Linked DNA regions of Coturnix japonica. The protein of the gene in region 6 interacts with the protein of the main gene of each other region in a pairwise test. Links are inferred from orthologs where the notes say so. Each region holds a gene or a part of one and is shown on either strand. Other genes may lie near its edges. The genes, in order: FAM161A, RPL9, KIFC3, KIF5B, AP1M1, zinc finger and BTB domain-containing protein 8A and BYSL.

Region 1 (2,762 bases), on a different chromosome or scaffold from region 6:
AGAGGGAAGGCTGGACTCTGCTTTTACGCTAGAAAGTAACAGTACTGCTTATATATTTGGCTTTTCCATTTCCTTTCTGTCATAACAGCAAATGGATATTGAGAAGCCTTAAATAAGGCTTATTTTAAAAAACAGAAATAAAAGTGAAGGTGATGCAGAATGAAATGACTTCTCAGCAGCCTTCCAGAAATCACGGTTAAAGAACCAGACTGAAAATATTACCCTGAATTGTTCTTTGAAGTGCATGGTGTATAACATACCCAGAGCCCTTCTCTGACTCAGGAAACAATTCAGGCAAAACAACCACACACGCTGCAATATTTACTTGGAAGTACTGCAAATGATTTTCTCAGCATTAAAAATGGCTCTCATTACTACTCGGTACACAGCAGCAAAACCAAAACCCTTCTGTGATCTCTACCTTTCTTTGGCATCAAAATCTTCAGCACTGCAGTACTCTTGCAATTTAGTTGTTTGTCCTTTCTTGGAAACCAAGTCTGGGCACACCCCCAGAGCTCTCAGTCTGTTAGAATAATATTTTTCTGCAGCTATTCTGGCATTATTCTGTAGGAAAAACACAAGGGTGAAGTATGAGCTAAATGCCCGTCTTCAGATACTTTTGCTTATATTAATACTGTTTCATTATTTGCACGTGAGAAGTTAAGTTCGATTATTCACTACAGCTAAGAATGGCAAAACTACTTGAGAACTTTATAGCAGATCTTCCTCCCTTTTCTGTACTGGTTCAAATGCAATTTGCTCCCTACATCCGCCGGGTAACAAAGCGCTGTAAATACTGTGTAATGCTATTGAGGGAGCGGGGAGAAGGTACAGACCTGAAACATCAGCTGTGTTCTTCCTAGGGCTGCTTCTCTCTGGGGGAGCTGCTGCTCTGAAACATGACATTGCTTTACTCTCTCACAGTGCTGTTTTGATGTGCTGTGCAAATCTGAATCTCTCTGTCAAGCTGTGTAAGCTCTGCTCCTCCAAGTGACAGCTGGGTGAGGAGGCCTTGTCCCCAGCCTTCATGCATGCTCTGCCCTGCAGCACTGCTGGGCCAGGAAACCCACCTGGGAGGGATGAGAGAACTGGGAGGAATGGGCTGTCTATGCCTTGCTGCCTCTCTATTCCAAAAGCAGTCGGGGACTGTGCTACCAATGCTTTGTTTTACTGAGACAGAGGGGTGAAAATTCTGCATCTCAGCTTTACAGTAGACATGGGGAATGCTTGAGATCTCCTAGTATTCTCCCAGATTAAACCTCTCATCTTTTGCTGTAAATGTGTTCGACTCAGTGCTGTGTGTGTTATAACTGAACCACTGGATGTCTTTAAAACATCTCATTTCCCTGCGCAAACGCACCATGAATGCTTGGTCACAGAAAAGTGATTTGTAGGGAGATGGAGCAGTAGAAATTAAAATGGACAAAAACTTGTCTAAATAACTTCATGTAACTTTTAACAGTGTTTGACTAAAAGTTCCCTACACACTTAACTGGAGATGAGTCTAAGAAACAGACAAACAAGGCAACCTGTGTTACTCTTTCCAAGAGCAATGGCCTTTGCTTTACTCTTTCTTCCATCTCTTGTAACTCTTGCAAATACTCCTGCATTCTCTGCTTGGCGGAGTTCCTAAAGGAAACACAGTGCAACAGAAGTCAATTGTCTGTAACACAAGAAGTACTTCCTTCCAATTGCTCCATGACAAGCATGGTCCCTGGTTAAAAAAAGCATAAGGTTTTACTGTCTTACAGTGGAATTAGGTTTACCTCCTCAACTTCATGGAATGATAAAATGATTTGGAAGGGGCCTTAAAGCCCACCCAGCCCCAACCCCCAGCTGTGGGCAGGGCTGCCCCCACCAGCTCAGGCTGCCCAGGGTCCATCCAACCTGGCCTTGAGCACCTCCAGCGATGGGGCACCACAGCTTCTCTGGGCAACTGTGCCAGGGCCTCACTGCCAGAACATCCTTGTTTGGAATACCAGTGGACAAAACTATTTCTGAAGTAGTGTCCTTGGATAAGCAGCGAGAAGTCCTGTCCAGTGAGGCTAACGGGGCCTGCCTGAGTATAGTTTCTTATAATAGATTCTTCTGCCTTCCCCACCTCTTTCCATATTGTCTCTGAGTTTCTGCAGAGAGGCTCAGGATTCAGGGGATGCAATGAAATACCTGAACGCCTTTAGTTTGGATTTAGAGGTCTGAGCGAGGCTCTGATGGGGGTCGTTGGCCTCAGCCCGAGTCGTGACAATTTTCTGCAGTTTCTTTGTTCTTTGTTTCTGCTTTGTCCTGTTCCTTTTCTGTTGTTCTTCCAGCCTTCTCTTTTCCTCATGCGAATTCCTGGGTGGAGAAACAAACTAAGGCTGAGTTTGTTTGAAATCAGGCACGAGACTTCAAAGGAAGCTTCGGCAAAGGAAATTTGAAATACTAAAAAAGAAATGGAGGAGGGGGGGAGGGGGGATGAAAAAGGGCTTGGTATAAATGGGTATGTGCCACTGTAAGGGATTAGAGCGTATCCTGACAAACTGAGGCCGTTCTTCCCTTTCCTATTGACACGTGCAGGAATGTGCATTACTGCTTCTAGGAAAACCCAGTATTAGTAAAGCCCCGTGTTTAGTGTAAGGACTTGACAATGGTGTACAACTGAACATATTAAGTCCCATATTCACTGCATGAAATAATTAATTGCATCTGTAGAGGTACAAAAGAATTCTCTCTAGGTATTTAAAGGCACAGAGCATCACTGCAGCAGTTAGTCACCTTAGGGC
Region 2 (4,194 bases), on a different chromosome or scaffold from region 6:
TCCGCTTCGCCAGCTACAAAACCAGCTGGACTTATGTTTAGGTTGGATGCTACAAATTCCGTCTCAGAAAGAGTGGTGAGGCATCGTAACAGAATGCACAGAAAGTGCTGGATTCACTGTTTAAGGAAAGGGTAGATGCACTACTTAGAGACATGCTTTAGTTGTCAATATTGGTGGTAGTTTGGACTAAATGATCTTAGAGATTTCTTTCCAGCCACAGTGACTGTATGATTCCTTCTGGAAGCTTAACAAGGTCCTTCCAATGTTTGCCTTGTTAGGCTTCTTGCTAAACCTCATGTACACAGAGCTAATGGGTAAGATGAAAACTGAGACGTGTCCCTGGCTAATTACAAAATTAAAAATACAACTCTTTAAATGCAAGTGAAATCAGATGACCTGCAAAGATTATAATAGAAACACTGGTCTAAAACCAAGCACCAGAAATTTACACCAACAAACACTGTGAAGATCTAACAACAATGAAATGAAACACTGGGATCCTTTTAACATCTATTGCACTAACTAGCTTTATCATTACTAAGGATAAATAACAGAACGGATATTAACCATCAATCTGCACTGAGGTAAATGTATTGTAAGGTGACATAAATACAGAGTGAAAAATGCTGCTTCCAGTAATCAGCTGTTCCTTGCTACCAGTGGCAGTACTGAAAGGGAATAGATTGGAACCCCGATTAGAAATAGCTGAGCACAGTATGTCCAGCTGTACCCACCTGGCCTCATGCGCACCCTGCGGATGTACTTCTCTCCCAAAAAGTTTCGGATTTCCACAAGTGAGCCATTCTCCTGTATAACTACATTGATTGGGAAGTGAGCGTACACCGACCTCATCTTATAACGGAAGCCCTAGGATAAAAGGCATCGTTAGGCACTGAAAACTGGAAATCAGAACTCAGCCAGAAAGGAAAACAGAGGCATAAAGCTCACTGGTTACATTTAGGAACAGAATACACTGAAGATTTGGTCCCAGTAAAGATATTAAGCTCAAGAAACACTCAGAGCTTATTGTTCATTCCTTCCTTCCCCTGAATTTGTTTGACATCCAAAAAGAAAAAAGAAAGCTGCTCACATGCACAATAACTGACATACATGGAAAAGCTCATTCAAGTCTGCCCATTTTTGCCCCCAAATGCCATTGGAACAGCATCTTACCAGCGTCACGCCCTTTATCATGTTCTGTACATGGCTGCAAATGGTGCGAACTGTTGCCAGCTCCTTCCTGTTACCCCACCACTTGTCCACACGCAGCTACACAGAAATAAATAACAACAACAACGCTGTAAGTTACATTCCGGTACTAAAAATAAAGTGGCTTTGTGACAAATTACAAATGAAAAGCTATTAAAAGCACAGATATACTTTATTTCTTCAAAAGACCATTGAAGACCAACCCAGCTCCAGTCCCACATCGTGAGCCACAGACACACAGGAAGTTTTTTCCTTCTTTTTGTCCCATCAGAGAAGGTAGGACAGGCAGCAGGTCTAAAAAGGCTCAGAAGCCTTAAACTGAAGAATGAGGCATCCAATACTAAACGCTAAACTAGTTGTTCTGAAGTCAGCCTACTATAACGCAAGCTATCCATTTTCTCAGTTACACAGTGTTAGGATCCAGAGCTTTTCTGACAAATTAAATGCCTACTAAAAGTTACCAAAATCGGCCATTTTCCCCCTTTTTCTTTTCTTGAAGACACCACATGAAAATATCACACACACATTTAGGGATCAGCCCTCCCAGTGTAACTTGCCAATTACTTTTACTCAGCTAAAACCTGTCAGGCAAAAGAACATCATACAACAAGGAATCCCCTTCGCAACAATAAGAACTGCAACCACACAGAAAAACAATCAGCACCACTCCAAGACACAACAGAACCTCAAGCCTGCCATGGAGCCCAAGCAGGCCTCAGCATCCCAGCAGATCAACTTATCCCAGAAAACACAACAGAGCTCATTAACAGAGCTAACAAGGCCAGATACACCTGGTTGAAGCTCCTGCTTTTCAGGCCTTTAAGCAGGCCGTGCTCCCCTCCCCCTGTGGTTACAGAGCGCGTGGAACTCACCTTCCTGCGCTTCTTTCCCAGCAGGGACAGCTCCACGTTGATGTGGTTGAAGTCTCTCCGCAGGGTCCCCCGGGGGCCCTTCACGATCACCGTGCGGCCCTTCAGGGACACGGTGACTGCAAAGCGAGCACAGACAGACGCACGTTACAGCTGCGATGCCGGCAGCAGGTCGGGCCTTCCAGCAGAGCGCACACGTACCTTTCGGAGGGATCTCCACCGTCTGGTTGCTGAGGATGGTCTTCATCCTGCAAACGACAACCACCACAAGCTGCAGCCCAGGAGGAACAGCGGCTCCTCGCACCGCCCCGCTCCCCGCACGTACCCGCGGCCCGCAGCTGCGTTGTCCCGGCAGCTCCCGACCCCAAACTACCGCCGCTACAGCCGCCCGCACGCAGACCCGCCCCAGGCGCTAAGGAGGCCGCGGGCTCCGCATCCTTCCCCACAGCAGGGCCCGGAGCAGGGAGGGGCGGAGGGGGCGTCGGAGCAGGCGCCATCCCGCCGGCTTTCCCCGTCGGACCGCGCTCAGGGCGCCGTGGCGGTTCGGCCGCAGCCCCGGGATGGCGGTGTGAGCCCGGCGGGGCGGCGCGGGGCCCGTCCGCCGCCGATGGAGCTGGATGCGGAACCGGGCCCACACTCACCTGGCACCGCGCAGCGCCGAAAGGGGCGGCGTGTGACGTCATCACGCTCTTGTAGCCGGTCGCGAGCAGCTGACGTCATCACGCAGAGACCGACGTCTGACAGGCCAGAGAGAGCGAGCTCCGATGGCAGCGAGCCGCAGCGGGACGGAGGGTGGACAGCGGGCAGCGGGGCGGCAACATGGCGCTGCTGAGCGGGGCGAGCCGCGGGGCTGCGGCCGGTACCACAGCGCGGAGCGTGCTGCTGCGGATGGGGGATCGTGCACGGGTGGGTGGATGGTGGGAAACGCCTGCGGGGGGGCAACTGGCTGCGTCAGTCACCGTATCGACAGCGCGTCGGACAAGCGGCCCTTGAGCTCCGCTTAGCGCTGCTGGGGAACAGGCTGCACAGGGAGGTTGTGGATGCCCCGTCCTTGGAGGTGTTCAAGACCAGGTTGGACGGGGCCCTGGGCAACCTGATCTAGTAAAGGTGTATGTTTGGTGGCCCTGCCAGGCAGGGGGGTTGGAACTACATGATCCTTGAGGTCCCTTCCAACCCGGGTCATTTTGTGATTCTGTGATAGCTGAAGGGAGTCAGTCAGTCCTTTATAATTCATTACATTATACTGTTCTTTTCTTTTAGGTGTCAGGGAACCACGTGTGTAACCAGTACGGAACATCAAGTTCTTTGCCTGAGGAGACAAAGAAAGCCCTCCAAACTGGACCAGACTTAGAAGACTTTCTATCGGGAGATCTGGCAGACAAGAGCGTGTGGGCTGAGTATAAAGGCAACTTAAAGCGTCAGAAAGGAGAAAGGTACATGGCATTGCAGTCAGCCGTTAATTGCTGTGCTCTGCACTGGTGTGCTGTGAAATCCCAGCATTACAGATGATGGTCTCAAAGCTTCCAGTGCCCTTTCTCACTGGATATGTAACAAATTGAAGTGGGTCTATATAATTAATATAGACCAACCTTCAAGACCAGGTTGGACAGGGCTCTGGGCAACCTGATCTAGTAAATATGTATGTCTGGTGGCCCTGCCAGGCAGGGGGGTTGGAACTACATGATCCTTGAGATCCCTTCCAATCCAGGTCATTCTGTGATTCTGTAATTAATGGAAATTTACCATGTAGATAATGTATTGATGTTGACATTTGTTTGCTTTTTGCTCAGGCTACGACTTCCTCCATGGCTGAAAACGGAGATTCCCATGGGCAAGAATTACAATAAACTGAAAAACACCTTGAGAAGTTTAAACCTGCACACGGTAGATCGAATATCAAACCAAGTTTTCCAGTAGAAATGATGATGGCTTTTTGTTCTGTGTTTGTTTCTGTGGAAGACAGAAAGACATTATGTCTTACGTGGTCTTGTGAATATTATCTCTTGTGAAATGTGTACATTTAAGTGCTAATGACAATCTATGCTAACTAATAAGGCAGTTACTCAGCTGAGGAGTTGTTGCTTCTGGGCTTATATAGTACAAAATGGAAATGGAT
Region 3 (4,148 bases), on a different chromosome or scaffold from region 6:
GTTGTATAGGGACACATTGCCAGCCCCGGGCTGGGACCCACTAGAACCACATGGCACAGCACAACAGGGCATGACATGGCACAGGATGGCATAGGATGGTTTGGCATAGCATGGGATGGGGTGGCATGGCATTACATATGATGGCATGGCATGAAATGGAGTGATATAGGATGGCATAAGATGGCATGGAATAGAAGAGCATGACATAGGATGGCATAGCATGGGATGGAATAGCATAGGACAGAATGGCATGGAATGGCATAAGATGGTATGGCATAGGATGGGGTGATATGGCATGGTGTGGAATGGCATAGCATAAAATGGTATGGTATGGGATGACAAGATGGCATGGCATGGAGTGACATGACCTGGGGTGGAATAAGGTGGTATGGCATAGTGTGGCATGGGATAGCATGCTGTGGAATGGCATAGGGTGGCATAGCATAAGATGGCATGGCATGGAATGATATATGATGGCATGGCATAGGATGGCATGACATGGGATCGCACAGGATGGCGAGGCACAGCATGGCAGAATATAGCGTAGCATGGCATGGCACAACATGGGATGGCATAGGATGGCATGACATGGCACGGCTCTGTCCTAGCACAAGGTGGAAGAATGAGCAGCAGCCTGGCGATTGGCTCAGCCCAGATAAGAGGCTCCTTTGTACTGCAGAAATGCTGCTATCACGTGCAGATCTCTCTGCTGCCATGGTTACTGCCTGCTGCAGTGCATGCAGCACAGCGGTGTGACCATGTTGAGCTGGGACATGCAGCATTAGCATGGCTCTGGGTCCTGCTGCAGCACTGGGCAGTGTCCCATCGCTTTTTACACGAAGGCTCTTTTCATTAAAGTGTTTTCCTGTGCGCTAATTACGTTGGTTTTCCTTCTGTAAATGAGCCCGATATGATCTGTGTGTCTTGGCAAACAGCCTCGAGAACAGTAACCAAAGCCTTTTTGTTTGATCGCTGTTTGCTTTGCAAATCTCCCTGCTCTCACCGTTCCTGGCTGCCTTCAGACAGCCTGCACGTGCGGGTTGATGGGAGGGAAATGGGGCTCTGTGTCATTCCTGCTGCAGGAACAGGAAAGGTTTGGGTGTTCCTGAGACCCTGGGGTGGATGGCTGCACTCAGGGAGCAAACGTGCTGCCATCTGAGCACTGTTATCTGCAGAGGGAGAAAAGTCCACCTGTCCACCCATCTAAGAAATAGGTTGTGTCAGCAATTTGCAGGGCTGGGTTTTAATCTGCTCTTAAGGCACCGGCAGACAGGAGCAGAGGAGACGTCGCTTTCTCCTCCACTGCAGACAGAGTTGCTCTGCAGCAGCCGCCCTGGGGGCCCTTTGGGGAGCAGGCAGTGCCATGCATGCGCTGGGTGCTCTGGCTGCACTCTCAGTGCTGGGCTGGACTAAGGACAGCAAATGGAGGAGCGTGGCTCTGCAGAGCACCAGGGGACTGCCAGGAGCGAGGCGGTGGGCAGCAGGGCCCGGCCCCCAGGTGAGAGACATGGGGTGGGAGCGATGGCAGTGAGCTGCAGTGTCCATCCATCGCCATGCAGCTCCAGGTGCGGGTGTAGGGCTGTGCATTATAGATGAGAGCTGTGAATAATGCATGGCAGGGTAAGTTTGCAGGCCGAGCAGTTGGGAGGCGACAGAGCTGTGCCATTGCTCTCCCCTTCCAGAAGGGCACAGCAGCACTGCTCTTCCCACAGAGGCTCCTATGGCTGCGTGTCCCTGTGGGATTCAGCTCTGAGCAGCCAAAGCCACGCACTCAGTGTCCCTTAGTGGCACGGCTGCTGACATCAGCCTCCAAACTCAGTTCCCTAAATTATTCACAATTACTGCTTGAGCGTCTCCTCCAAAACCAAACGTGCTTCCGAGGGCACTAAAAATAGACAGCTTCGCCGAGGACGGGATGCCTTTTTTAAAGGAGACCGCTGCCATCCTTTCTGCCTGTATTTGCACCTCCTGGCTCAGCTCCTGGGGAGAAGGGCAGGGATGGGGCCAGGCCCTGCAGGGACCCTCCAGCTGCACAGCAGGAGAAAAAGACAGGGCTGCTGATGTTGGGTGGGTGAGTGGGGGCAGCTCCGGGTCACCTGAGTGCTGCCCTATCTCAGCATCGCTGCCTGCGGGTTGGGTTAATTCCCACTGTGAACTTGGAAACGAGTACAAATTTCTCAGGAGCACACTAAGACTTAATTAAAACTCGTTAAAGAGCTCAGATGGCAACGAGGGACTGTGGGGTTTCGTTAGCTGCTCCTGTGGGCTCAGCACGGGGATCCCCTCACTGGGGCTCTCAGGGAGGAGTGGAGTTACAGCACTGAGCTGCGTTATCATTAATTGCTCTGTGGGGATGATTCTCGCTCCATCTGATGATCCTCCCGGTGGGAATTTCCTACAGAGAGCACCCAGGTGTGCCCACGCCTGCATTCCTGCCATCAGTTTGCTGGAAGGGAATGGAGGGGGAGGTTAAACTTTGGCCAGGATATCGTATTTTCCCCCCATCTCCCCCGAGGTGTTACAGATGTAGGTTAAATATTTGCTCGGGGCAGAGCAGACTGCAAATGCAAAGGGCCCCCATCGGCACAATCAATGGGGCTTCCCTCCATCCACACTCGTGGGCAAATAGGGGGGAAATGGGAATGAAGCCGCCTGGCTGAGCCGATCCCTCATTGCATACACACGCACAGGAGGTGGCAGCGGGGCTGGCCGCCCTCCTGCTGCTCTCCCAGCGCTCATTGATCCCGGGCCGGCACTCGGATGTCTGCTCCCAGGCTGGCAGCGAGGAGGGATGCTTTGCAGACGGGGAAAGAGCTGCTCTAAAAGGAAGGGCAGAGCCCGCGGCGCCGCGTTGGAACGTGGAGAGAAAGCAAAGGCAGCACGCAGTGAGCTGGGGCTGGAGAGAGGGGGGTGGGGGGGCAGCCCTATTGCTCGCGCAATATGAGGGTGATAGAGGGGCTGCTTCCAATGCGAAAGAGCCCTGAGGGTCGGGATTTCCATGCTCAGCCCCGAGTACCATCCTTAGGATAAACCCCACCGGCCCGGTGGGCACCCAGATCTCCTGGTGCATTGGGGTCCTGCTCTGGGAGCCGTCCATCTCCCCTCACCCATTTAGTCTCTTCTCGATGCAATTGACGCAACGTACGCCCGCTGCATAATTGCAATGCCATCAAAAAACCTGAAGCATTCAAAGGACAGGAAATGACTTAACGCCCAGAGCTATTTGCATAAACATTATTTTGCCCTCACAGCTCGTAAATTAAGGCAGTGACAATACGACATTTAGAGTCGCTGCTGGAATGCTTACAGTCACCTCGTGTCCGCCCGTGTCATCGCTGAACCAGCGGCAGCCGCTGCACGGACACGGGGAGCCCTGCGTGAACACCTACAGCACCCACAGTGGGGCTGAGAGAGACTATATGGGGCTGAGAGGGGCTGTGGGGGCTGGATAAGGCTATGAGGGGCTTTAAGGGGCTGAGAGGGGCAGGTCGGGGCTGTGTGAGGCTATGTACAGCTGAGAGGGGCTATATGGGGCTCTGTAGGACTGAGAGAGGCTGTGTGGGACTACGAGCAGCTGTAAGGGGCTGAGTGGCAGAGTTGGGCTACGTGGGGCTGAGAGTGGCATTGCGGGGCCGTGCATCCCCCAGGCACCGCCGCCCGTCGGGGGTCCCGGGCGTTACCAGGGCAACGAACCGGGGCGGAGCAGCCGGTGCCGACGCCCGGGTGGGCGGGACCGGGGCGGGGAGCGGAGCCGCAGCGGGCGGCCGGTGAGCGGCACCGGGAGGGAACCGGGAGCGGGCGGTACCGGGAGCGGGCGGGGCCGGGCCGGGCCGGGCTTCCCTTTGTGTGCGGGACGGCGGTGGGAGGGACCGGGGTGCGGAGCGGGACCGGCGGACTTTGCGAGGTGCCGAGTCGCTCTCCCTGCGGCAGCCGAGGGGTCGCGGAGCCGGGGACCCCCCGTGCCATGCCGGCAGCCCGCCCGGGCCGGGAGCTGCCCCTGCAGCGTGAGTAGCGCCCAGCTCCGCGGAGGGGCGGGGGGAGGAACCGGCAAGCCCGCATTCTTCGCATTGCTGCGCGGCCGGGGAGCGGGAGCGAGCTGCAGAGCTGCAGGGGCGTGGGGTGCCCTGCGGGTTGCGCGTCCTGCTGCT
Region 4 (3,500 bases), on a different chromosome or scaffold from region 6:
CATTAGCTACGTGTGGTCTCATTTTGCTGCATCTATATCAGAGATGGGCTACTTATTAACATAACACATATGTCTCAGTATCATCCTAAAGCTTTTGTTCTTTAAATCTCTCTACCAAGCAGTTTACTTCCTATGCCCAAAGCAAATAAGAAACTTACCATCCAAAAGGTCCCTTATTTTATCCAAGTATATTTCAAAATACGACACCTAGAAGTGTGAAACAAATGGCATTAGAACACAAAAATGTACTTCAGAAGGACTCAGTACAATAACCACAACCTCTCATGTACTGCCATATCTAGTTGACAACCACGAGGACAAACTAAAATACACAGCATTGACACAAGTTATCTACCATCAATGTTTAATGGAAACAAGATTAAAGTGTTAATGCAATTATTCTTTGAGTAGAGCCAGTTTCTGAAATAACTTGTCTTTATATTTTCCAATTCACAAGCATTCGTAACAGATATGAAACATCCATTCCGCAACAAACTACTTCCAATTTTAATATAGATTAAATATAGGAAATAAAGAAACCATTACCTTAATATGAAACTCAAGATTCTCATCCATAGAGTAAATATAATTAAAGATATCTTGTACTATTCTTGGAATAATTCCCATTCCATCTGGGTCGTGAAGCTTCCCCTTTTAGAAAAGGGAATGAAAAAACATTAATACACAAAGTATTTGAAGGCAGAATAAAAAGTGAAACAAGATAGCTCTGAAGTGTTGGTGGGTAAAATGCACTTATGTTTATCTGCAAAGGAAGCTCTTAGCCATCCACTTAGGGCCAGAAGTTGCTAGAAACAAAAAGAACAGCCTCAAAAACGTCACACACAAAGATGAGAAATCTACCATGAACAATCCTGCTTTTGATAGCTGAATAAATACAGTAACTGCCATTCTTACATATGAAAAATATTTTAGGTATCCAAAGTTTGTAATAGGAAAGAAAATGAAAGATGCAGATGCTTCATTTCTGGAACTGTTCAAATTTAGGGTGGATGGGGACTTTAGGCAACTTAATCGAATGAAAGACTTCCATCCCCACTGCAGAGTAGTTGGAACTACTGATCTTAAAAGATAGTTTCCAACCTCAACCATTCTATGATTTCATAAAAACAAGCCAATATCTCATCTCTAGGAATATAACACCACAGTGGTGAAAAGAGATGAAAACAATATTAGAAGAAAATAATTTTAAGTTGCCTTACTTCCATAGTGTGCGTCTTTCCAGATGATGTCTGCCCGTAAGCAAATATTGTACCATTGTATCCCTCAAGTACATCTAGAGGAAAAAAATATTTTCATTAGGACTGATTCCCTTCTCCTAAACAAAAGTCAAATAAAATAGAATGTGAGCAATTCCTAAAATGTTCAGCAAGTTGAGCCATTCAGTGACTGAAAAGTAAGCGCTACAATACTTGGTGCTGGGAGAGGAAGGCAGCAGTGTTCTCCCTTAGCACTTTTAATGCAGTCACTACAGATTGCATTTCCAGAAGCTGTATTAGAAGCAGCTCCTTCAGCCAGCAAAACACAACTTGAGAGTTGGTAATAAGAAGTAAATGAATACAACTGCCACATTGTACAGACAGCCTTTGACCATTTAAACAAATTGTATTATGCAGTACATTATTTGCTGCCTTCACAGTAAAGCTGGAGTATCTGATTATTAAGAGAATGAGCTAAGCTAAAAGTTTCCAGCATCTTATCACTTGGCCATAAGCTTATGTTTTAAACCATGAACAACTCAACTCTGAGTTTCAGGTTGAAGGGTAAGGGCCTTCAACACTTCACTCATCTGGTCTTGCCTCTAACAGCTGATAGTTTACGCACTCCTAAGAAGGCTTTGATACAGTTGTTTTAAAGCTGTGTCAATTGGAACTTGTACTGATCTACTTAAGAAATGAATCAATTTTATTTTGAGGGAGTTACCTAACTCCTTAATAAGGTACTTCATTGTAGTATAACCTTCTCTATTAGAAGACTTGAGCCCCAGAAGCCACAAAGCCATTAGACAGTTCAAGTTTAGAGAGAGTACACTCTGATAAGCACTGAAATCAGGTAACTCATAATTGCAAAGTTAAAACAAAACAAACATGAAGTTTCCCAAGTTTCACCTTACATTCCTCCAAACAAAAATAACTGTTTTCTGACACCAATTAAAAAAAACTACTCATACGAGTTGTTTTCAAACAGACAGAAGCCTATCCTTTATTAATTTAAGGCCAATTGTTTTAACCTCTAGCAAGATCTGAAAATAAAAAATAAAAATCAAACTAACAGGTAATTATCATCAAATGCTGCAAACAACTGGAGAAGTGGGCTCAGTATTGACATCATATCACCTCAACTAGAGGATGATTTTATACTCTGAACCACGATGACTGTTATTAAACATTCAGAAGGTAAACGGGAGCAACAGAAGGTACCAGATTTCAACATAAAAACCCACACAAATAAGGTGTTTCCCAAAAACAAAGAGTTCATCCCACCTTACCTTTGACAATCTTTTTAGCACAGTCATTGTATACTTGCTCCTGGGATGTGTTTGACTGGAATACACGGTCAAATATATATGGCTTGGACTGCAAAATAGAAAGAAAGGCTGTTAAAAAAAGACTACCTGGGAAGCACAACTGAAAGGTGTTTGTTCACACAGCTTAGAAGCAGCCTACATGGTCTCGGTCCGATCTCGTGTTTTATTTTAAGTACTTGAAGGACGCAGTGAGGAAATCGGCTTATGTATGTGTCTAAATCTTCACATGTTTGCTTACAAATAAGGCCTTGAATTCAGTATGTTTGGCTTTTAAGTGCAACCCAAACTATTTGCCATAACTACACTGCTACACGACCTCTACTCTACTTACACTGTAAACCAGTGCTTAGTGTCTATACCTCTGAGAAAACTTCATTCTTCTCCACTGCTTTGGTAAACCCAAATTATTAAAAACAACTCGTATCACATCACACACAATATGCCTTCATAGTATTTGTTAACAATCTCAAACCAAAGGAAACATCCAGGTCACCTACAGTCAGCACAAGGAACATTTCCCCATGCATGATATCCTTACAATGAGGCTCTGTAAACAGAAGGAAAAGGCCACTTTGCAGGAAGGGAACCTTCCAAAGATTTCTTTAGGAAAACACTGAAAGAGGAAGCTCTGACACAGCTTTATGAAAAGAACTGGGGATTTGGTAACAGCTGTAACAAGCTGACAGTCCATAAAGATGAGTTATTAAGTTCATCTTACTAAGCTGAAAATTTCCTAGAACTTTCAGAGTTTATTAATATCTTTGCAGACAGCTGAGGTTTCCAAGGGCCTTAAGTCAATTCCTACCACTGAACTTACTGTAACCGTTCAATGATCCATTTGGCCTATGTTTAATTCATTATCATCCTTCCCCTCCCCCAAGGATCCTGTGGGACGGCCTTCCTGGCAGCAGAACAAGTCTAGCTTCCATCTTTTACCCACCCACTCACCACATTC
Region 5 (4,170 bases), on a different chromosome or scaffold from region 6:
GAGAACACCCATCACAATTTCAAAAGATATTGCTGAAATACTCACGGCCTGTGTTATCAAAGAGAACTTTGTCATTTAAACCAAGGCGGAGCTCTGGCATTCCTGAGAGAAAGACTCTCATTTTAATGGATCCAACTATTTCACTCCGTAATACATTTCCATTGGCACTAACCTGAAGGGTAATGAAAAGAAAGATAAAGGTTGCCCTAACACAATATGATATGAGATCAAACAGCAATCCCACCCCATCCTCAAGCCCCGGGTCTCCGTGGATGCTTTTCTTCCGAGCAACCAATCCAACACAGTACAATCAGACTAAGGACAAAGTGGGAATAGACTGAAAGAGAAAGGAAGGACACATTGGAAACCAACTCTGGGACTACTGGGCACAGAGCACAAGTTCCAGTAAATGATTATTTATCTCTGGCTGTCATTACAGATTGTCAGTTTCAATGACAGACAGCATCCCAGCACACTAATCATGGTTAGGCTGATTTTTTAATATATAATATATAATATGTTTTCAGACAGTAAGTTCTTCTCAAGACTTCTACTAATAATTCTCATTAAAAGTTCAAGTAAAAGGTACCCACCAAAAGGTTAACAGACTCTATAACATCCAGGAACACTTCATTCTTCCTATATTTTATCCCTTCTGATCTCCATGAAACAGCATTTGTAACAGTGGCAGGTGGACGTGGAGCTCCAGTTTCAAGTTTGTGACCTTCCTGAGTGATGTACCTTTATAAGCACAGAATTAGAACAAAAAATACAAATTATACTCTGAAAAATCTGAAGTGTCTTTTATATCAGATACACATCATCAATAAATAAGTTGGATATTATAATACTTTATCAAGTATTAAATATTTTGATAACTAGAGGAGGAACCCAAAACATTTGTTTGCATGCAAAATACAAAGACTTTCCCAAGGACTTTACAAATATGAGCAATAAAGACTGATACTTACTCTTGTAAAATTTTACTATCAGTGGTTTGTGGGTAACCAAAATCCATAAGCTCATCTAACAACTCATAAATAATAACAAAATTATCTCTAATGCTCTCTTCTTCCAACTCCTTGAAATATTCAGAAAAAACCTGAAACAACAAAAAAAAGAACGAGAGGGAAGGAAAAAAAGAAGGACATGAGCTGAGGAACTACAGCATATTCTGAATGTATTCCTATAACTAACAAGAGTTTGGAAGAAAAAAAGGAAAAAATAAATAAATCACCAAAACAAAACTCATAATTCCTAAAAACATTCTGTCCAGATTAGCAGCAGGAAACTCACCTCAATTAAAAGGGGGTTAAAGAGACCAAGAAATAAGTCTGATCATTACAAAAAATATTTATGCTGGGAAAAACAGTTGTGATGCCAGTTCCAAATTAACCCAACACAGCACCTATATATGGCACTATTCATACATCAGTGTTTTCCTCTGTGTTCTCGGGTCATGTGCAACTACTCACAGCATTGTGTCACATCCTTTGCCTACTCAGTTATAAGATATCAATTCCATTCTTAGTGGTTAGGAAGACATTTCTATCAAATAATCAAATATAAAGGAAAAATAGTATAGATTCTATTTAAAAAAAAAAGTGAAAGCTCTATGCATTTTTATTAGATCACACTGAAAAATAGATGGGAAATAAATCCAAAACTTCCTACTCACCTGAACTACTTTATATAAAAATGAAAACACCAGTGATACACAAGCATTCTTCTTAGAAGTTGCAACAACTAATAAAGGATGTTCAGGAACACGCATTCAAAGTCATGGTGTGATGAAAAGCATTTTACTGAGTGTGCTTTTAAAAGCATTGTAAAAGGGGCAGCCTGATCTGGTGCCTGATTTAGTTTGTGGCAGCCATGGCTGAGGCAGCAGGGTTGGAACTGAAAGATCTTTGAGGTACCTTCAACCCAAGTCATTCTATGATTCATTCAATGATTCACACGTAGGTTGCCTGCAGCACAAAGGATACGATAGAGGTTGTTATGTTTAATCCACATGAAACGAACTCCTCCATGTGCTAGAATAGGAGAAAGCGTTCCCTCTTCTTCCTTTTCCATAAGGATTGGCATAAAATGCTCCACTTCTGACATGTCCACATCCCCACGGTAATTTCGACAGATGAGAACCTACGGAAAGAACAATTCCTTACACTTTTCCTTTGAGAGATGACGTTACCATGCCAGACCAGCACAGGGGATAGTTAAAATACCTCTTAACTGAAAAACCCACATATCAAGCTTTAATCAATGGTCTATACATACTACAAACGCAAACCAAAGTGCCATTATATGTTGCAATTTGAACGCAAATCCCCAAGCTACGCAGTCGTATCTCCTAGTGTTATTCCTCACACAGCTACGCACACCCTAATAATAATAACTTTTGAGATGGAAAAACACACCGCTCTCCTGGGACAAGCCTCCTCCCATTAGGGCTGATATTACTGACCGCAGTTGTGATGCTCGGGGCTGTGCAGGCAGGGCCGCTCCCCGACTCGGACAAGGCGGGACCGCCCCACAGCTCGGGGCAAACAGCGAGCGGGAAGGGGAAGCGGCGGCCGCAGGGCAGCGAGGCCGAGAGAGCCCCACGGTGCCGGGCCCCGCCGAGCCCAGGACGGGCCCGACGCTCTCGGCAGCTCGGGGTGAAGGGCGCCCACAGCCGCAGCGCGGCCTCACCTTTCCCTTCAGGTCCAGCACGTACACGGCGCTGGCCGACATCGCGCCGCCCGGGGCCGCCGCGCCCGCCGCGCCCGATCACAGTCACAGCGACTTCCGCTTCCGCCCGCCACTTCCGGTAGGAAGCGGCTGCACAAGGTCCGGCCGCGCGGAGGGATACGCGCAGTGATCCGCCGGCAGCGGAACAGCACTTAAGGCACCGATTGCTGACGTTAAGTAGTGCGCGGCCGGCTGAAGTCCGCAGTTAGGAAGGCTGAGGAGCCCCGGGACGGGTCAGCGGTACCAGAGGGAAAACGCTTGGGTTGAATTAGTGTGTGAGGGTCTGGGATGTGATTCACATCACCTGTGAGAGCTGTAAATGCAGCCATACAGACTGCATGCAGCACACCACCCTCACTGCAGGGAAAGGAGCACCGAAATAATGGATAAAAGGAGCTTTTTAATAAGTTACAGTAAAGACATAAGGATTGTAGAATACAGCAGACACCACTGCCCCAACTCAGAGATTTTATATAGGAATTACACAGTTCTGCCACTGATAAGAGCAGCTCATACAATGTAATGCTGCCACAGACTGCTTCTTCTAAGAGCTGCTGGCATAGGACAAATAAAGGAACATTCTCCTGTTGTCTCACAGCAATTGGGTTCAGCTTTGAGCACTGAAAAACACCCCATAAGTCAACAGCCAAAGAAGAGGTTTTGTTGAGTATTTTGAAACTGAAATACGGCAGTACAAGGTGATAAATGTTCCGAAGACATATGAAATATTCAGTATCATGAATACGGAGGTTTACACGGCAGCCCTGTTTGGTGTGAGCACAACTCCTGACCCGAGGCCCCGAAACGCCGCCCGTTCACTTGGTCCAGCTGACTTTGGGGATGTCGTAGTGCTCCGTCAGAGTGTCCAGGTGCCTGTTGAAATCCTGAGGGGCAGCAAAGGAACAGAGCGCTCAGAATTGGAGCATTCACCATCGCGCAGCCCTCCCCACAGCGCTGCCCAGCTGATGGTACTTCCACTCACCTCAACTCTCTGTTTGTGTGTTTTCGAGGCCTTCTTCAGGATCCTCTCCATTTGCTGGAAGAAGACACAAGATCACAGTTATTGCCGTGGGGTTCCGACCCGCCCCACGTCCCGGGGGCAGTGCGGCCCTACCCGCTTCTCCTGCATCTTCTCGTAGGCCACTTGCGCCGGGGTCCGCTTATCCAGGCCGCGCTTCTTCTCCTCTTCCTGCTTCTTGCTGCTCACGATCTGCTCCAGGATCTTGGCCTTGTCCTTCGCTTTCTTCTTCTTCCTGCGGACAGACGCCGCTCAGCTCCCAGCCCCCGGCCCGGCTCCCGGTTCCCCCCTCTCCCTGCCGCTCACCGTTTGCCGGCCCCCAGCCCCGCTCCGCCGCCCTTCAGCCGCAGCGGCCCGCGCTGCACCGCCTCGTAGTCCGCCATCGCTCGGCCGCCCAGCGCCACAGCGACCCCTGGCGG
Region 6 (4,045 bases):
GTCTAGAAAATAAAACTCTCAGAGGGTTGCTTTGGCTTTGATTATTATTGTTATTTTGTAAGCATTGGAATGGCTGTGATGTGTTGCTGTGCAGCACAGGGCGAAACGAGTCCTGATGTCTGAGAAAACCCCCATTCTGTTCCATTGTGATCCCAGCTGCACTGGGTGAATTTCTGGGCGTTTCCTGAACTATTCTGAGTATTCTGAGCACTCGTATCAGGTTTAAAGATCTGATTTGTTTACTCGAGATATCACAGCATTTTTCCCCTAGTTTTAAAATTCTATGACCTCTTTGTAGCCGATGGAGAACCCTTAAACTCCTGCTTGCACTGATAAAACTGCTGAGCTCGGTGCCCTCTGGTATCGCCAGGAAAGCACCTGGTCTGTGCAGTGTCAGCTGGGTCGTGCAGAACAAATACCCACAATCTATTCTTTTCAGAAGGAATTTTTCAGTACAAGAACTATTTGGGATATGGAAGTGGGGGGAAACCATGATGTAGGATGTCATATACACAAGTGGTGCTGCTTAGTTGAACCGACAGGCACATGGATTATTGGCAGCCACTGTCCAGGGCTTTGTGAACTCAGGGATTGCAGAGCTGGGCTGTAACACCAGGACAAACACGAGTTCATCTGCCCTGTTGTCCTGCTCACAACAGCTGCCTGCTCTGTGCGAGGAAACAAGAGGCGTTTAGCAGCACTAATACCTGAATGCTCCTCTTACAGACATGGAGGCTTACAGAGGTGCATGGCAGGTAACTCACAGGTCTCAATAGCTGTACCCTGGTCTCAATAGCTGTACCCTGGTCTCAATAGCTGTACCCTGGTCTCAATAGCTGTACCCTTGCCTCGTGTAACGCTCACATTTCGCTTCCACAACTGCACAACAAGGAGCTCCTGTGCCTGCCTATGTCAGGTGAAGAACCACATCCTGCTGCTCTGTTGCTGCCAACCGCTATCGCTTCATTTGCCGTCACCTCCCCTTACACCAGGATCAGCAGCTGACAATCACTTCCTATTGATCCTGATGTGATTTTATAAATTCCCATGTATTTCACTTGCTTCATTCTTCCCTGCCTTGGCTGGCTCACGCCCCATAGGAATTCATGCAAAGCTGTGCTGGACTTTTGTCATCTCTCTGTTCTCTTTCTGAAAGAACACAGACACATGAAGGATTTTTAGTGTGGCCTGCACAGCAAAATTCGAAATGAGACAGAACTGAGAAAACAACAGAAGTTTATTAAAAAGGGGAATAAAAGCGGGGAAATACAACGATCCAACATAAATGGACGTAAATTGAATGTGAAGAGAGGAGAGACTGCGAGAATGAAAGTGGGGGAGGAAAAAGCCTTTAGGTGCCTTCCTGCTTCTGCTACGATGGGGAAAGGAACGTAAATTGATTCAAGATGGAATGTCTGAAGTTTATGCAAGGGAAGGTTGAAAGGAACCGAGGATACAGCTAAGGCAGAACATGGGACAAGGGATGATTAACAAATGAGGGTCAGGAGAGAAAAGACGCTGGTGGTAAGAAGAGGAAGGTGAAGGGTGTCAAACTTGGAGCGAGAGAAGTCGAGAGGTGGAGGTTGATTGAAGGCGTTGTGCTGCTTTTTCCAAAGACAACTGAGATGTGAAGGAAAGACATCGCATCTCCTCCTGGGGAAGCTGCAGATACGTTAAGGAAGGATTTGGGTCATTTGGGCCCGTGTTACACATAAAGGTGTGAGAAACAACCGGGACATCGCAGCCCCACCCGGACGGATCGTGTGTGTGTGCGGGACGGAAGCGGCGCGAGCTGCAGGGCGGTCAGACGTCGGGAGCTGCTGGGCTGTGGCTGCAGTCGGTGCGTTGCCCCTTTAATTGTGTCCCCAGCCCTCGGGCGTCCGTGTCCAACGCCCACGTCAGCAAATACCTTTTGTTTCTCTCCCGCTCGGGCTTCCAGGGCTCGGGGCTGCGGGAACGGGGCGCTGAGCGTGGCCCGAGCGGAGCCGGGGACCCCGCACCCTCCGCCCGCGCCTCCATCGCGACCGAGCGAGCGGCAGCCGCCCGCGGAACCCGGCGGTGAGTGGCGGCCGGGGCGGAGGGAGCCCGTGTGCGGGGCTGCGGGCGGGACGGCGCCGGGAGCCGCAGCCCCGCGGTCCGGCCGTGCCGCCGTTCGCCGCCGGGAGCCGGGCGGGCCGCGGAGCCCCGGCAGCGCCAACGGGCGCCATTGGCGGCCAGAAACCGGGCGAGAAGGAGAGAAACCGGGCGCGGCAACAAAGGGCGGCGCGGGAGCGGAGAGCGGGGGGGGAAGTGGGACTGAGCCGGGCGGGGCGGGCGGGGGCGGCTCAGGGACACGGCGGGAGCGGGGCGGGAACGAGCGGAGCCGGGGCCACGGGGCGGCGGGCGGCGCGTCCCGCACGGAGCCGAGCGGAGCCGAGGGCAGCGCCACGCGGGACGGCGGCCGAGGGCGCCGCTCCGTGTTAAAGCACCGGGAGCGGGGGCGGCGGCCCCGGGGCGGCATCGCGGCCGATACCGGGCGGCGGCTCCGCGCCTTGGCGGGCGGGCACAGTGCCGCCGGGCGTCACGGGCTGCCGGCGGCCGGTGCGGGCGGGGCGCGGTGAGTGGCGGCGGCGGCGGCCAATGGGGGCAGCCCGGGACGGGAGGGATGAGGCCGGAGCCGAGTTCCCGTTTCTGGTCCCTCGGGCGGGGATGGATTCGAGCCCGGCCGGATTCGGGCGGTGCGGGAACGGCAGCACCGGGCACAGGCCGCAGCTCTGCCGGTTCCCTCGGGCTCCTCGGGCTCCTTGGGCTCCTCGCCATGACGGTGAACGGCTGAACGGTGCCGCCGCGTTTCTCAGCCTCCATCTGAGGATGCTGCTGCTGCTCATTCGGAGCTCTGACATCGCTGCCAAACAGCACAGGCAGCCTCACATGGACTCGTTCCATCCTTTTCGAACAGCAATGCCTGGTGGTGGATATTGGGATATTTAATTCAAATATATTTGTGTGTTTCAATAAGATTATTTTTCAGAATATCCATTAAATGGGGTCTGCCGGCCTTGGCGAGCAGCGCAACGTGGAATTCACGATTGTAATTTGTTTTAATCCCTTTGTTTCCTAGAGCACAGCACATCTGCTTTGGGATGGAGATTTCGTCCCACCAGTTTCACCTCCTGGAGCAGCTCAATGAGCAGCGCAGGCAGGAGCTGTTCTGTGACTGCAACATCCTGGTGGAGGGCAAAGTGTTCAGGGCGCACCGCAATGTGCTGTTTGCCAGCAGCGGGTACTTCAAGATGCTGCTCTCGCAGAGCTCCAAGGAAATGACTCAACCCACCACCGCCACCTTCCAGGCGTTTTCTCCGGACACTTTCACAGTTATTCTGGACTTTGTGTATTCGGGCAAACTGTCTCTCACTGGTCAGAACGTCATCGAGGTGATGTCGGCCGCCAGTTACCTTCAGATGACCGACGTTATCAGCGTGTGTAAAACGTTCATCAAGTCGTCTCTGGACATCAGTGAGAAGGAGAAGGATCGATACTTCAGCCTCTCAGACAAGGAGGTGAATTCCAATGGCGGGGAGCAGCCGTGTCTGTACGGCGCGGGCTGGAGGGCAGAAAGCAGCCCCCCACATCCACAGCCAAACCCAGAGCAAGGGACGTGTATGAGGGGAAACACTTGGAGCAACTTCAACTACTATCCAGCTTCTCAAAGAAACACGCAGCAGCAGCTGTCCAAGCACGAGCAAAGGCAGGATGCCATAAAGAAATCCCGACACCCGGGACTGCAGCAACCCGCTGACATTCCACACTATAAATCCAGCAAACTGGAGGACAGGGCTGCTGAGCCTGCTGGCCACATTTCTCAACCTGAGGACCAGGTTCAGATTGAGGCAGAAGCGGAATCTCCTCACGTGGGGTTTCAGTATGGCCAGGGCTCCGATGTGATCTCCAGGCGCTCAGCCGTGTCGCAGCAGGAGCGCGACTCGCCCCGTCCTTCCAGCAAATCCAAGTCTCCAAAAGCAGACGAGCAGTACCCCAGCATGCCCTCCATTGTAGGTGTGATGGG
Region 7 (4,234 bases), on a different chromosome or scaffold from region 6:
GCCACGACATCTCTCAGATGTGTGATGATAAAGCCTTGGGATTTAAGGACTTGCGGTTCCAGACCAGGGATTATGTACTAATGGACACCCAGAAAACAACCTACTAAACCAAAGCAGAAGCAGCCGGACTGCCAGGAAAATCTGGTCCTGGACTCAAGCTTAGGGTAAAACAAGCTTCTCTTTAACCCCAGCTCAGCAGCAGCTCGCACCACTACATCTGTGTTTATTCTTATGAAGCAAAACCAAGGCATTTCTCAATCCCATCCCTGTTAGCTCGGAACACCTGCCTGGGTAGATGCGCCATCATTATTAATTACAGACCAGTTAATAGGATTTGTGTGTTTAGGGAAACACATGCTCAGATTTTACAAGACCTTTCAGCACCTCATCTCAGATCTGGGGCAGCACTGACAGCACAGAGCTCTGTGACCAGGAGAAAGCAGCTTTAGAGCCAAAGCTGCAGCAGGAGGGCATTGAATGCATTAATACAACCTGCCAGCAACGAGTAACACAGATGATACATGGAAGGGATGGGGACTCAAGGTTTCTAGCCAAGCCTCCAACATGGGATTTCCCTGCCCTGGATTTCATACCCTTAAAGGTGATTCTCACCTCCACGGATATCCCGCGGGCGCTGGGGCCCATGGTGACGGTTCCCACCTTGACCAGGAAGTCGCAGTACTGGTACCGCGTGCCCCGGCTCTCGATCTTGTTTGCCTTGGCGTTCTGGAAGAATCCCTTCAGCTTCACCATCAACGTGTCGAAGTTGGCGTCCGCGATCAGGCAGGGCCCGTTTTCAAACAGAGCGAAGCAGCTGAGGGGATACTCGGAGTTGTGCATCACGTACATCAGTTTGCCCGTCTGCCCTGAAAGAAAAGCAGCGTTTGGCCCGTTCCTTTGACACCCACCCTTTAAACATTCGTATGGGTTGATAAGCGCCCCCAGCCCCTCTCAGCCTTCTCCTCTCCATGCTGACCAGCCCAGCAGATGCCCCATGTCCGCACTACACCCGCCCCCCCCGGGTTCCCACCTTGGCTGCTGATGGCGGCTGCCGTGTGATACGTCTCACAGTCCACCCCGAACGCTCCGTGTTTCTCGGCTCCCAGCAGCTCCAGCTTCTTGCTCAGCAGCTCCACGGTTTGCTGCACGCTCTTACCCTCCAACACGGGCACCTGCGTCACGCTGCGGGGCGACAAACAGCAAAAATGGCCGCGGGGCCTCCACAAAACCCAAACCCAAACCCAGCCCCAACCCCATCACCCCATCACCCCATCCATCACCCCATCCATCACCCCATCCATCACCCCATCCCCACCGGCCCCTCACCAGGTCACCCCCATGGCTCCGTCCCGGCAGTGGCGGTGCCGGTACCGGAAGGGGCGGGGCTGGCCGTGCTGGCGCCGGCGCGTCTGATCGCGTGTCGCTGTTGCGGCCATGCCGAAGGCGGCGCGTGTGGCGGAGCCGCTGCACGAGCAGATCCTGCGGGCTGCGGCCCCCACGGTGCGGAACCGGCGGGCGCGGGACGCGGGGCGCGATGCGGAGGAACGGGACGGCGGATACGTGGGGCCGCGGTTGTCCCGGCGCATCCTGCGGGAGGCCCGGAGGCAGCAGGAGGAGCTGGAGGCCGAGCACGGCCCCGGGGCGCCCGCACCGACAGCCCCGAGCGGGCGCGGGTCGGAGGAGGACGATGAGGACGAGGAGTGGCCGTCACTGCAGCGGGCGGCGGAGTGGGACGGGACGGGCGGCGGGGGGGACGTGCAGGTGGATCCCGAGGACGAGAAGGCCCTGGAGATGTTCATGAACCGCGCGGCGCCGCTCAGGTACCGGAGGAGGGGTGGGAATGGGCGGGGGGTGGACGGGGAGCTCCGGTTCCCCATCACCGACCCCTGCCGCCCCCCCAGGCGGACGCTGGCGGATGTGATCATGGAGAAGATCACGGAGAAGCAGACGGAGGTGCAGACGGCGCTGTCCGAGCTGTCGGGCCGCCCCATGCCCCAGCTCGACCCCCGCGTGATAGAGGTGTACAGAGGCGTCAGAGAGGTGAGGGCACTGCGGCCCCCCCGGCCCCACACACACCTTTGTGGGACCCCCCAGCTCCCGGCGGAGCAGTGCAGACAGCACTGCTGTGTCCCTCGGGTGTTGTGAGCACATACGTGCTGTGTGAGCACACGCAGTGGAGCTGCACAGGGAGCAGACAGGTTGCTTACAGCCTTGAGACAAACCCTTCCCCCTCTGCTTCCATTGAAGGTGCTGTCCAAATACAGGAGTGGGAAGCTCCCCAAGGCATTTAAAATCATTCCTGCCCTGTCCAACTGGGAGCAGATCCTCTACATCACGGAGCCCGAGACGTGGACGGCAGCAGCGATGTACCAGGCCACGAGGTGGGACCAGCTCAGTGTGCTCTGAGCTGTTGTTTTCTCCTTGTAATGGAACGAGATGGACAAAATACCATCGTGTGTCCTACAGCTGCTCCTCCTGCCCTGTGCCTGTGGAGCAGAGGGGATCCTGATGCTGGGGGTGGATGGCTCTGGAGTCACAGCTCACTCTTCATGCTTTGCATTTCACAGGATATTTTCATCCAACCTGAAGGAGAGGATGGCCCAGAGGTTCTACAACCTGGTGCTGCTGCCACGGGTCAGAGATGATATCGCTGAGTATAAGCGCCTCAACTTCCACCTCTACATGGCTTTGAAGAAGGCTCTGTTCAAGCCAGGAGCCTGGTTCAAAGGTAGGGGCTCCCTGCAGGGCTGCACTCCACCCCTGGGAACCTGCTGCAGGGCAGGGCAGGGGGAGGAAGGTGGAAAGGTGCCCATGATGCAGAGATGTTATTTCCTTGGGTTAAATGTGCCCTGAGAGAGCAGAGATTGAGCCTCACACCCCACAGCTCTGCCTGCTGCAATGACCAGTGGTGCCCAGCTCTTCTCTCCCCACAGGGATCCTCATCCCCCTGTGTGAATCGGGGACCTGCACACTGCGGGAGGCCATTATCATCGGCAGCATCCTCACCAAGTGCTCCATCCCTGTCCTGCACTCCAGGTAATGCACTGGGGCAGTCACTGCCCCTCAGCCCATCCAACAGCTCAGAGTGGGGGAGCTTTGCTCAGGGCTGATTCAAAGCCGTCCTTTTTGTGCCCTGCCCTCACCTGCTGCTCCCCTTGTCCCCACAGTGCAGCCATGCTGAAGATTGCTGAGATGCCATATAACGGTGCCAACAGTATCTTCCTGCGGCTGCTCATCGACAAGAAGTACGCGCTGCCGTTCCGTGTGGTGGATGCCCTGGTCTTCCATTTCTTGGCCTTCCGCACAGACCAGCGCACGCTGCCCGTGCTGTGGCACCAGAGCTTCCTGGCTCTTGCCCAGCGCTACAAGGAGGACCTGTCCTCGGAGCAGAAGGAAGCTCTGCTCGAGCTGCTCAAGTTCCACAGCCACCCACAGATCTCAGCCGAGATCCGCAGGGAGCTGGTGAACTCCAAGACACGGGACGTGGAGGGGCAGGAGCCGGCAGTGATGGAGTGAGGGGAGGAAGGAAGGAAGCACCACAGCCTGGCCTGGCTCCTGGGGGCTGCTGCACAGCTGGGAGCAGCACGTCCAGGGGTCTGGGAGCATCCAGCCCTGGGATCCCACTGCTCATGGTGCTGTAACCACGGGGCTGGGCTGGGCTCCCTGCGCTGCTTGTGTCAGGGCAGCCCTACAGCCCTGGCACCCAGGACAGCAGTAGGGCTTGTCCTGCTCCTGTTCTGGAAAATAAAGCCCGTGCTGGGTCCTTCCTGGAGCAGCTCTGACCTGCAGTTGCATCTTTGTGTGGCTGCATCCGTGCATCGTCCTGCCCTGTCCCCCTCCCCTCGTCCTGTCCCCAGCAGGGGGCAGAGCAAAGCCACCAACAGCGGCTCCTTGCAGCACTGCGCTGCAGCTGTCCCGGCTGCAAAAGGAGACCAGGGGCTGTGCAACTCCCTGCCCTCCTTGTGCTCTGGTCAGCAGCGAGCACGTTCCCAACTGTGCTGTGCATTAAGCAGCCTCTGTGATGTTGGGCAGAGGGGCTGGGGTTAAACATCTTCCTGTGAGAGGTGGGGGCAAGGGGCAAGGCCATAACCCACACGTGGCAGCTGCCTTGAAGTGCCACCTCTGCTGTAAAATCCAGCGGGGCATCGCACAAGGCTCCGCGCTTACCTGGGTGCTCACCTGGACACTACAGCTCCTGCAGATGTCCAGCTCCTGTCCTTGCTCCTGGAAGCAT

Evidence for each region.
Region 1: the proteins of zinc finger and BTB domain-containing protein 8A (region 6) and FAM161A interact in binary tests that used the Homo sapiens proteins (3 or more experiments, as listed by UniProt). The two-hybrid records come from large-scale screens. The link is inferred for Coturnix japonica from reciprocal best matches to the Homo sapiens genes ZBTB8A and FAM161A.
Region 2: the proteins of zinc finger and BTB domain-containing protein 8A (region 6) and RPL9 interact in binary tests that used the Homo sapiens proteins (3 or more experiments, as listed by UniProt). The two-hybrid records come from large-scale screens. The link is inferred for Coturnix japonica from reciprocal best matches to the Homo sapiens genes ZBTB8A and RPL9.
Region 3: the proteins of zinc finger and BTB domain-containing protein 8A (region 6) and KIFC3 interact in binary tests that used the Homo sapiens proteins (3 or more experiments, as listed by UniProt). The two-hybrid records come from large-scale screens. The link is inferred for Coturnix japonica from reciprocal best matches to the Homo sapiens genes ZBTB8A and KIFC3.
Region 4: the proteins of zinc finger and BTB domain-containing protein 8A (region 6) and KIF5B interact in binary tests that used the Homo sapiens proteins (3 or more experiments, as listed by UniProt). The two-hybrid records come from large-scale screens. The link is inferred for Coturnix japonica from reciprocal best matches to the Homo sapiens genes ZBTB8A and KIF5B.
Region 5: the proteins of zinc finger and BTB domain-containing protein 8A (region 6) and AP1M1 interact in binary tests that used the Homo sapiens proteins (3 or more experiments, as listed by UniProt). The two-hybrid records come from large-scale screens. The link is inferred for Coturnix japonica from reciprocal best matches to the Homo sapiens genes ZBTB8A and AP1M1.
Region 7: the proteins of zinc finger and BTB domain-containing protein 8A (region 6) and BYSL interact in binary tests that used the Homo sapiens proteins (3 or more experiments, as listed by UniProt). The two-hybrid records come from large-scale screens. The link is inferred for Coturnix japonica from reciprocal best matches to the Homo sapiens genes ZBTB8A and BYSL.

What each region holds. Positions count from the first base shown.
Region 1 is NC_029518.1:13,371,497-13,374,258, reverse strand, and holds part of FAM161A (protein FAM161A), read right to left. Parts: coding exon 2,755-2,762; intron 2,335-2,754; coding exon 2,167-2,334; intron 1,630-2,166; coding exon 1,530-1,629; intron 565-1,529; coding exon 422-564; intron 1-421. UniProt on the Homo sapiens protein: Involved in ciliogenesis.
Region 2 is NC_029519.1:62,572,151-62,576,344, reverse strand, and holds the start of RPL9 (60S ribosomal protein L9), read right to left. Parts: upstream 2,801-4,194; 5' UTR 2,720-2,800; intron 2,327-2,719; 5' UTR 2,326-2,326; coding exon 2,280-2,325; intron 2,198-2,279; coding exon 2,082-2,197; intron 1,270-2,081; coding exon 1,174-1,269; intron 868-1,173; coding exon 735-867; intron 1-734. Other genes in the region: LIAS (lipoyl synthase, mitochondrial), read left to right, coding at 2,898-2,984, 3,339-3,511, 3,869-3,962.
Region 3 is NC_029526.1:1,981,525-1,985,672, reverse strand, and holds the start of KIFC3 (kinesin-like protein KIFC3), read left to right. Parts: upstream 1-1,348; 5' UTR 1,349-1,363; coding exon 1,364-1,498; intron 1,499-2,804; exon of another isoform or gene 2,805-2,885; intron 2,886-3,702; exon of another isoform or gene 3,703-3,767; intron 3,768-3,810; exon of another isoform or gene 3,811-4,004; intron 4,005-4,148. UniProt on the Homo sapiens protein: Minus-end microtubule-dependent motor protein. Involved in apically targeted transport. Required for zonula adherens maintenance.
Region 4 is NC_029517.1:12,865,640-12,869,139, reverse strand, and holds part of KIF5B (kinesin-1 heavy chain), read right to left. Parts: intron 2,595-3,500; coding exon 2,507-2,594; intron 1,295-2,506; coding exon 1,221-1,294; intron 652-1,220; coding exon 547-651; intron 208-546; coding exon 159-207; intron 1-158. UniProt on the Homo sapiens protein: Microtubule-dependent motor required for normal distribution of mitochondria and lysosomes. Can induce formation of neurite-like membrane protrusions in non-neuronal cells in a ZFYVE27-dependent manner.
Region 5 is NC_029543.1:3,468,908-3,473,077, forward strand, and holds the start of AP1M1 (AP-1 complex subunit mu-1), read right to left. Parts: upstream 2,801-4,170; 5' UTR 2,737-2,800; coding exon 2,695-2,736; intron 2,146-2,694; coding exon 1,989-2,145; intron 1,747-1,988; coding exon 1,679-1,746; intron 1,103-1,678; coding exon 972-1,102; intron 742-971; coding exon 594-741; intron 173-593; coding exon 46-172; intron 1-45. Other genes in the region: protein FAM32A, read right to left, coding at 3,549-3,617, 3,716-3,769, 3,848-3,986, 4,058-4,134. UniProt on the Homo sapiens protein: Subunit of clathrin-associated adaptor protein complex 1 that plays a role in protein sorting in the trans-Golgi network (TGN) and endosomes.
Region 6 is NC_029538.1:4,572,794-4,576,838, forward strand, and holds the start of zinc finger and BTB domain-containing protein 8A, read left to right. Parts: upstream 1-1,245; 5' UTR 1,246-2,058; intron 2,059-2,635; exon of another isoform or gene 2,636-2,983; intron 2,984-3,100; 5' UTR 3,101-3,122; coding exon 3,123-4,045. UniProt on the Homo sapiens protein: May be involved in transcriptional regulation.
Region 7 is NC_029541.1:4,735,622-4,739,855, forward strand, and holds BYSL (bystin), read left to right. Parts: upstream 1-1,434; coding exon 1,435-1,820; intron 1,821-1,901; coding exon 1,902-2,040; intron 2,041-2,247; coding exon 2,248-2,381; intron 2,382-2,567; coding exon 2,568-2,728; intron 2,729-2,933; coding exon 2,934-3,036; intron 3,037-3,167; coding exon 3,168-3,516; 3' UTR 3,517-3,782; downstream 3,783-4,234. Other genes in the region: MED20 (mediator of RNA polymerase II transcription subunit 20), read right to left, coding at 613-866, 1,031-1,182, 1,327-1,436. UniProt on the Homo sapiens protein: Required for processing of 20S pre-rRNA precursor and biogenesis of 40S ribosomal subunits. May be required for trophinin-dependent regulation of cell adhesion during implantation of human embryos.